Linked DNA regions of Oryctolagus cuniculus. The protein of the gene in region 1 interacts with the protein of each later gene in a biochemical or structural test. Links are inferred from orthologs where the notes say so. Each region holds a gene or a part of one and is shown on either strand. Other genes may lie near its edges.

Evidence for each region.
Region 2: the proteins of PLD1 (region 1) and ras-related protein Ral-A-like form a complex in vitro, tested with the Homo sapiens proteins (2 studies listed by BioGRID). The link is inferred for Oryctolagus cuniculus from reciprocal best matches to the Homo sapiens genes PLD1 and RALA.

What each region holds. Positions count from the first base shown.
Region 1 is NC_091435.1:108,448,162-108,452,456, forward strand, and holds the start of PLD1 (phospholipase D1), read left to right. Parts: upstream 1-1,402; 5' UTR 1,403-1,542; intron 1,543-4,295. UniProt on the Homo sapiens protein: Function as phospholipase selective for phosphatidylcholine. Implicated as a critical step in numerous cellular pathways, including signal transduction, membrane trafficking, and the regulation of mitosis.
Region 2 is NC_091443.1:114,067,711-114,072,317, forward strand, and holds ras-related protein Ral-A-like, read left to right. Parts: upstream 1-1,630; 5' UTR 1,631-1,768; coding exon 1,769-2,389; 3' UTR 2,390-4,255; downstream 4,256-4,607. UniProt on the Homo sapiens protein: Multifunctional GTPase involved in a variety of cellular processes including gene expression, cell migration, cell proliferation, oncogenic transformation and membrane trafficking.

The DNA.
Region 1 (4,295 bases):
GGGTATGAAAGATATAGGCCAAACAAATGAACAGTCAACAAAGCTGGGGGGTGCGGGGGATAATTACATACAGGATCCGCTACTTTGTACCTACATTCACCTCACAGGGCATCTTCCTATTTAGTCTCCTGTCCCAGGGAAGCAGAAGTTGAGCTATTGTGAAGGCACTTAAATAACCTTATTTCTAAGGCTCCTCAGTAGAAAGACCCAGGGCTGTAGCTAGTGCCAAATGTTTTACTAATCACTTCTGAGTGAGGAATGCAGCTTTATGGGCTGCTGCTTCTCGAACTGAAGGTGTAATAACTTCTAGGGACAAGCCTGTAAGAGTGCAGTTACTCGTTCGCATAAAACTTATCACATCATCTGTGACTAATAAAACTTGAGAAAGGGGAGTGTTCAGGCTTTCGGTAACATGCTTGTGCTAAGCTTGCCAGAGGGCCCTGTGCTTAATTGTAAAAATCTGTCAGTACCCCAGGATTCAAAAGGCATCAATCAGGTCTGTCGGCAAGGAGGGAGTGAAGGCTGTGTGACTCTTCCATCACTGGAAAAGATGTGCTCAGGAGAGAAAAATGTAGTGGGGCGGGGGGAAGGGGCGAGCCAAGTGCAGGTTACAGGAAAACGGAGTTGCAGACTGGAATTTCACGCCCCTCGTCTCCCTTGGACTGAACACCGCCTTTTCAGTTTTATGCCGCCCCATGTGTGCAGTGAGACGTTATGGAAGCCGGCCAGCCTGGGCGGTGGAGCACACACGGCCCACGCTGTGAGCACAGCGGTGCGCGGGAAGGCTGCGCCTTTCGGTGGGGTGCAAGATTGTGTCACTTGGCCGGGACTGGACGGCTGGTGCTCCTTTCCTTAATTAACACTTTCAGGGGACGAAAACCAGCACAATTGCTGTTCGGACAGTTCGATCGGGGGAGGAGGGGTGTAATGGGAATTTTCCAAGTCTTGCTCTCGGTGTCGCCACCCCCCCCCCCCTTGATGCTAAGAAGTCTGAATGACATCCAGCTATCGAGACATCAAGACACAAATTCCCGTCCCCAGGGATCTCTGCTGGGAGTCTAGACGCCGGCTACTTCGCCGGTCCGAGCCTGTTTTCTTACCTGTAGAGTGGCGACAACACCTACCCGAGGGAGTCGCAAGGAGTCTCATAAATGCCATGAACAGAGCTCCTACGTCTTAGCTAAAGCACCCCGAGCAAGAAAGCTCGCCTTTCGGTCCGCCCTTAGAGGCTGCCAGCCGCGAGGATGGGGGAATACAGGCAAAGCCCCCCGAGCGACCCAAACGCCAGGGGCAGAGGCCCAGCTGCGGAGCCCGCCCGCCTGTCCTGCCGGGCCGCCAGCCTGCCGGCGCCCGGCACCGCTTCGCCCCACCCCCGCACAGCCCGGGCGAATCCGCGCCGCGAGTTCCGGGCGCCGGCGCCGCGCCGAGCGCCCCCGGGCCCGCCCTCGTCGCTCCCGAGCCTCCAGCTGTGCCAGCTACGCCCGAGCCCCGGGAGCTCCCAGCCGCCAGCGCGCAGGTGCCCGCGGCCCCCTCGCCCTGCAGGTAGGCGCCGCGCGCGGACGCAGCGGCTCGCGGGGCTCCCACCGGAGCTGGCTTGCCGCTGCCCTGGCCCTCCGTCCCTCCTCCCGCTGGCCCGCGCAGCCAGGCCGCTCCTCGCCCGGCTTGGACGGGACCTCAGCGCCGCGTGGGCGGTGGACTGCCGAGCAGCCCCCGGCCTCCCGCGGACGCCGCGAGATCCGGTGCTGACAACCTGGGCTGCCTGCGGGCGGAGGCAGGGGGCGTGCCCTGCAGGGTGCACCCCGACTCGCGCAGCCACGGGCCCCCCCCTGGGCGTCCAGCGCCGCTTGGGTTAGCAAGCCCCGCGGCATGACAGGGATAGGGGCGCGGTGGCACCAGCATCCTAGACGGACCAGGAAGTGCCAGGTCCCGAACTTCTGCGGCCCTGGGGACGCTGGGCTGGGGTGAACTGCTGGCTGGCAGTGGGGCGTGTGCTCAGAGCCTGTTCTCAGGGCACTCGGGTCTCAGATGCAGGCGTGCCGTCCTCCCAGCGTTGGGTGAGATTGTGTGATGCCGGGAGCCTTGGTGCAGAGCTACCGCGACACCTGTGAATGCTTCTCCTAATCTCGTCATAGTGCTTTCTTTACTTCCTCCATGAAGCGCTAAGCGCAAGTCGATTTTTAAGGACACCAGGAGTTTCCCCGTTTGATCATCCCCTGGGTCTAGTCCCCAGAATGGGGAGTTAGCTTCGCTTTATTGGGCGACCGCTAACTTTAGATAACCCTTTGTGGGCCTCCCAGGGCCTCTGGGAGCAGGAACCCAGAGCACTGCGAGATATGTTAGATGGATTAGATAATGATGGTGCCCTGGAAATGTCCAGGAGAGGAGTCTACAGTTTTGAGCCGTTAACAGACGCCGCATTGATCCACTGCCCACTTGAATAAGCAGCTCTTTCAGAGTTAACTTTGGAGGCGTGCGGACAAGTGTGCGTGCAAGTGCATTACAAAGCCTTTCAGCCTGAGTTTGTAGGCAGCCTGTAAGTGTTTTTCTGGGGGGCCTTTCATTATATATGCTCCCAGCCTGTCTTCTCAAGATCTAGTACAACTCACGATCCAGATAAAAAAAAGTATGCCTTATGAAGACTTTGAGGAGGGCCTGTCTTTTCCGAGAGATTTATGAACCGTGGTGCTAAGGACTGTGTAGGGCTCATTTGGTTTTGCTGATTCACTTATATAGGTAGTGGTGGGGAACCCTGCTCCTTGGAAGTTTCCAATGACTTAGTGGGTGTTCCTTATAGTTCTAAAGTTCATTTACCTTTAGCTGTTCCAGGGTTTGTTTTTTTTTTAAGCTTTTTTTTAGTATGTTTTTATTGTAAAATGTACACCACCTACAATTTCCCATCTTAGCTGTTTTTAAGTGCACTTTTCGTGGCATTAAATACATTCGCGTTGTTTTGCTTGTGTCACCATCACCCAGCCACAAGACACTCTTTTTTGTGTACACCATTTGAATGATTGTATTGCAGCTTTAGTTTTCTTACTATGCAAGGCTTGAGGTTTTCTCATGGTTTTAGAGGAGCAGCTGCTTTTAAAGAGGATGGGTGAAGATAAGCTTGTGAGCTGGTTAGGATTGTATAGAAGAATGCTCAGAGGGTTAGCTATCAACCAAAAGGAATGGCAAGGAAACTGTTGACAGTTTCCTGCCCTGCATATCTAACAGAAACTACAATGGACAGTTTTGTGTCTCCTTCAGCCTGTTTAAATTATGCTTGAGCTTGGGAGGTGGAGCCTTTTCCTTAACTAGAAGTGAGTTTGATCCAGCTGGCTGCTTGGTGTAACAATTTCCTGTCCACCATGGGTATTTACTAAAGATGGATGCTGGAGTATCCAGCAGGTAGGATCTGGCTCCTAGGCTGAGTCACTGCAAGGCCTGTTTTTATGTTTACAATCCTCAAGTCTTAGCACCACAAAATAAAATTTATTTGCTAGGGTGTGGTCAAAAGCTATTGCAGGGTTAAACTGAGAAACATATAACCCAAGTTTCCTGTGAACCCGTGACGTTTTTGATTAGTAAGGGATTTACCCAAATGTGGGAACACATTCCAGTGTGTTTGCTTCCGGAAATTCACAGCGCAGTGTCAAACCTGGATCCCAGATGTGGCTAGTGCAGGGTGATTAAACAATGTCTAACATATAAGTGTTTCACAGAGTCTCAATTTTTTTTTTTCTGTTGTGAAACTCCTAATTTTTAAATTATTGAACAGACTTGGGACAGAATCAAATCAACTGTTTGTGGAGAAATACACACATTACATACACTGTATCAGGCACTATTCTAAGTATTTTACTAATGTGACCATATTGAATGTTCCAAACAACCCTGTTTAGTAGGTGATCTTATTATCTGGATTTTGTAGATGAGGCATTTTGATGCATAGCCAAACCATACAACTGGCACATGGCAGTGCTGGGGTCCCAGCCCAGGCAGTCGGAACACAAGAATTTTGGCATTGGTGTCTCTCCAAAAAGATACAACCTGTGGTTTTATCTCTCTCATAAATGCCCTTTTATTTATTTGTTCTTTTTTTCAGGTTTCTGTATTTCTTTTGGTTCTTGTTTCAGCATAAGTAATGTAACATAATTACATGATACAGCTCCTTTGCAGAAGAGGAGCATGGTTATGTCCAAGGATGGGGGGTTATGTCTACCCTGGGAAGGTCCTGGAGAACCCCCTGCCGGCCAGGCCTTCCCACTTGGCTGTGAGGAAATTGGGACAAAGGATCCTGGGTGTAGGGGCTG
Region 2 (4,607 bases), on another chromosome or scaffold:
GAGCTGAAATTTAAGAAACAAGAATAAGGAAGTCACCATGACCCCCAGAGGAACATAACAACATTTAAATATTAGAATATTAAGATGAGAAGATTGAGGAAATGATAGAAGAGTAATTTAGAAAATTAATCATAGAATTACTCAAAAAAATCAGAAGCAAATCTATGAGCTAAAGAAAACCATACAAGAAATGAATGAAAACTTCTCCCAAGAAACTGAGAATATAAAGAGAAATCAAAATGAAATTTTAGAAATGAAAGAAAATGGATCACATAAAAACTGCAATGGAAAGTCTTTACAGCAGACTTGAAGAGGCAGAAGAAAGAATATTTGAATTAGAAGATGAATCTTTGAAAATCTTACAGACAAAAAAAAAAAAAAAAGAAGAAGAAGAAGAAACTAGAAAGCAATGCTGGAGGCCAGCGCCAATGCTCACTAGGCTAATCCTCTGCCTGTGGTGCCGGCACACTGGGTCCTAGTCCCGGATACTCCTCTTCCAGTCTAGCTGTCTGCTGTGGCACGGGAGGGCAGTGGAGGTTGGCCCAAGTGCTTGGGCCCTGCACCTGCATGGGAGACCAGGAGGAAGCACCTGGCTTCTGGCTTTGGATCAGTGCAGCGCCAGCTGTAGTGGCCATTTGGGGGGTGAACCAATGGAAGGAAGACCTTTCTCTCTCTCTCTCTCTCTCTCTCTCTCACTGTCTAACTCTGCCTGTCAAAGAAAAAAAAAAGAAAGAAAAGAAAGAAAACAGTGTTGGAAATCTATGGGATACTATCAAATGACCCAACATACCAGTCTTAGGAGTTCCTGAAGGAGAGGAAAGAGAAAAAGGAATTGAAAACCAATTAAATATTTACAGAAAATTTCCCCAATTTGGAGAAAGATAGAAATGTTCAAGCAGAGGAAGTATATAGAACTCCTAACATACATGACTAGAAAAGATATTCACCAATACACATTGTAGTCAAACTTTCTACAGCAAAACATAATGAAAAAATTCTAAACTGGGCAAGGGAAAAGTGACAAATCACTTTCAGAGTATCGCTAATTAGACTCACAGCTGACTTCTCATCAGGAACCCTACAGGCCAGAAGGGAATACTGAGATATAGTCCAAGTCTTAAAAGAAAAAAAACCTGCCAACCCAGAATACTGTACCCCACAAAGCTTGCATTTATGAATAAAAGTGAAATAAAGACCTTCCATAACAAACAGAAATTGAAAGAATTCATCGAAACTCGTCTAGCCTTACAGAAGATGCTTAAGGATGTGCCATACACAAAAACAAAGAAAGATAGCCATCATTATGAAAGAATGAGAAAGCAGAAAACCCCAATAGAAATACAAAATAAATCCAAAGTAAATGATATGAATATTTATGGAAAAGTGGAGGGCCAGGTCATTACTTATCAATACTCACCTGGAATGTAAATGGCCTCAATTCTCCAGTTAAAAGATACAGACTGACTGAATGGATTGAAAATCAAGACCCATCTATCTGTTACTTATAAGAAACACACTTCATCAACAAATATAAGTAAAGTAAAAGGATGAAAGTAAAAGGATGAAAAAGATAGTCTATGCTAACAAAAACCCAAAATGAGCTGGTGTTGTGATTTTAATATCAGACAAAATAGGTCACAAAGAGACAAGGGCCGAGCCCCCTCCGGCCGGAGCCAGCGCGGCCACGGCTTCAGAAGCCCGCGGGGCTGCGGACCGGCTCGAGGTGCAGATTCTTCTTAGTCCTTTGGTGGAAACTCTGCAACACAAGATGGCTGCAAATAAGCCCAAGGGTCAGAATTCTTTGGCCTTACACAAAGTCATCATGGTGGGGAGTGGTGGCGTGGGCAAGTCTGCTCTGACTCTGCAGTTCATGTATGATGAGTTTGTGGAGGACTATGAGCCCACCAAAGCAGACAGCTATCGCAAGAAAGTAGTGCTGGATGGGGAGGAAGTACAGATCGACATCTTAGATACAGCAGGGCAGGAGGACTATGCTGCCATCAGAGACAACTACTTCCGGAGCGGGGAGGGTTTCCTCTGTGTCTTCTCTATTACGGAAATGGAATCCTTTGCAGCCACAGCCGACTTCAGGGAGCAGATCCTAAGAGTAAAAGAAGATGAGAATGTTCCATTTCTGCTGGTTGGTAACAAATCAGATTTAGAAGATAAAAGGCAGGTTTCCGTAGAAGAGGCAAAGAACCGAGCGGACCAGTGGAATGTTAACTACGTGGAAACATCTGCTAAAACGCGGGCTAATGTTGACAAGGTAGTTTTTGATTTAATGAGGGAAATTCGAGCCAGAAAGATGGAAGACAGCAAAGAAAAGAATGGGAAAAAGAAGAGGAAAAGTTTAGCCAAGAGAATCAGAGAAAGATGCTGCATTTTATAATCAAAGCCCAAACTCCTTTCTTACCTTGACCATACTAATAAATATAATTTATAAGCATTGCCATTGAAGGCCCAATTGACTGAAATTACTTTAACATTTTGGAAATTGTTATGTATCACTAAAAGCATGAATTGGAACTGCACTGAAAGTCAGATTCACTTTAAAAAGAAATTAATGTGGCTTCTCCAAGAAGCAAAGTTCAGCTTATTTCATAACTGCCTACATTTATCACGGTCCTGAATGTAGCGTGTGTGTCTCTCAGGCAGTCTTTCTGGAACTGTTAAATAAAGAGGTGAGATGTGGGGTGGGGAATGGGAGGAAAGGCTACTTCCTCTGGTGTTTATTATAAAGCTTAAATTTTATATGATTTTAAAATGTCTTGGTCTACTGCCTTGAAAAATGACAATTGTGAACATGATAGTTAAACTGTACCACTTTTTTTAACCATTGTTATGCAAAATATAGAAGAAAAAGTTGTTGGCATGGTTGTTGCATATAGTTAAACTGAGAGTAATTCATCTGTGAGTCTGCATTAATTAACTGGTGATTAACTTAGAAAAGTGGTGTAAACTTGTACACGGACATTTTGGAACATGCCTTAATTTAGAAACCGAAAAATACCCAGTTTCATCATTCTGTGAGACACTGTATGCCTGGTATGGAGTACAGCTTTTGTATAGAAGGTTCTTGAGAAATAACTGTCCACTCGGAGTCTGTCCAGATGAAAACTGTGTGCCATACTCTGGTTCTTAAATAAGGTTCCAGAGCTTCTTGACTGCTTTAATAAATTGTAAGGTGGTATGAAATGAAGGGCCAGCATCTACTTGTAAGATAATTTGAGACTTTGAAGATTCAGTACCCCTTGTGTGTGAGTGAAGCCTCTTTTTTTTTTTCCTAAGATGCTGGTCCCTAGAAATCACTTTCTACGAGTGTTGAGCATATAAGTGTTACTTTTTAATCTCCTGGAATTAGGGCATAGGACAAACGTTAGCAGCACTAAGGCATTTGGCATTAGAACACTTGGGGAGAATAAGCATGCTTGCCACCTGTTTATTTCTAAACTTGTATTCCTGAGGTTTACAGTTTGGCTTTATAGAAATTATTGAGAGTATCTGTAGTCTGTTTATGTTCCTAATTAAGCACTGTGTAGCTATATCTTCCTAAAAATAACATCAAGCAATCAAACCCAGGCATAGTGCAGAAAACGTGTGTGGCACACAGAGACCACAGTGTGTCAGGCGGTGTCACTATTGTGTGATGTTGCCACTGGAAGAGTTCCGGCATGCTATTTGGATACATAATTTTGATGAGAAATACACAGACCACTGTCACTTTTCTTTTCCTGCTCAGGATGGAATTAGGACAGTTGATTTTAACAGATTTTTTTTTCTTTTTTCTTTTTAGTCAGCCCTAATTTGAACAAGTCAAGGATGTGTTCAGGCATTCCAGGTAACAGGTTGTATATGTAAGCTAACAAAACTAGACTTTTAAGGAACTCAGCTCTTTAGATACTATATCCAGCTTGTCATGTTAAATATTTGTTCCTCAAAGGTGTGAGATGTACATCTTCCATTTCATATTTTTCATAGGTTATGCCATGTGCAGAATTAAAGTTACCAATGTAATACTGGCCAGCGGGCCCAGCAGTCTCTATGTGTACTCACGCATTGCAGTCTTATTTAACCAGGGGTCCTAACCACTAACATTGTGACTTTGCTTTGAGACCTTTCCTCTCCTGGGTACTGAGGTGCTATGAAGCCAACTGACAAAGATGCATCACATGTCTTAGGCTGATGCCACTCCCCAATTCGTTTATTTGCAATTTGAGCCATTTAAAGACCAATAAACTTCCTTTTAAAAAAAAAATAGGTCACAAAGCAAGTCTCAGCAAATTCAAAATAATTGAAATCATTCCATGCACCTTCTCAAACCACAATGGAATGAAGCTAGAAACGAACTATCTCTAGAACATAATTAGACATAAGGACTGAACAGCATGCTCCAGAATGAATAGTGGGTCATAAAAGAAATCAAACAGAAATCAAAAAATTTCTGGAAACAAATGAAGATGGCAATACATTATATTGAAACCTATGAGATATGAGATACAGCAAAAGTATGTTAAGAAGGAAGTTCATAGCAATCAATGTCTACATGAAAAAACTGGAAAGGTACTAAATAAATGAGCTATCAATGCAACTCAAGGATATAGAATATC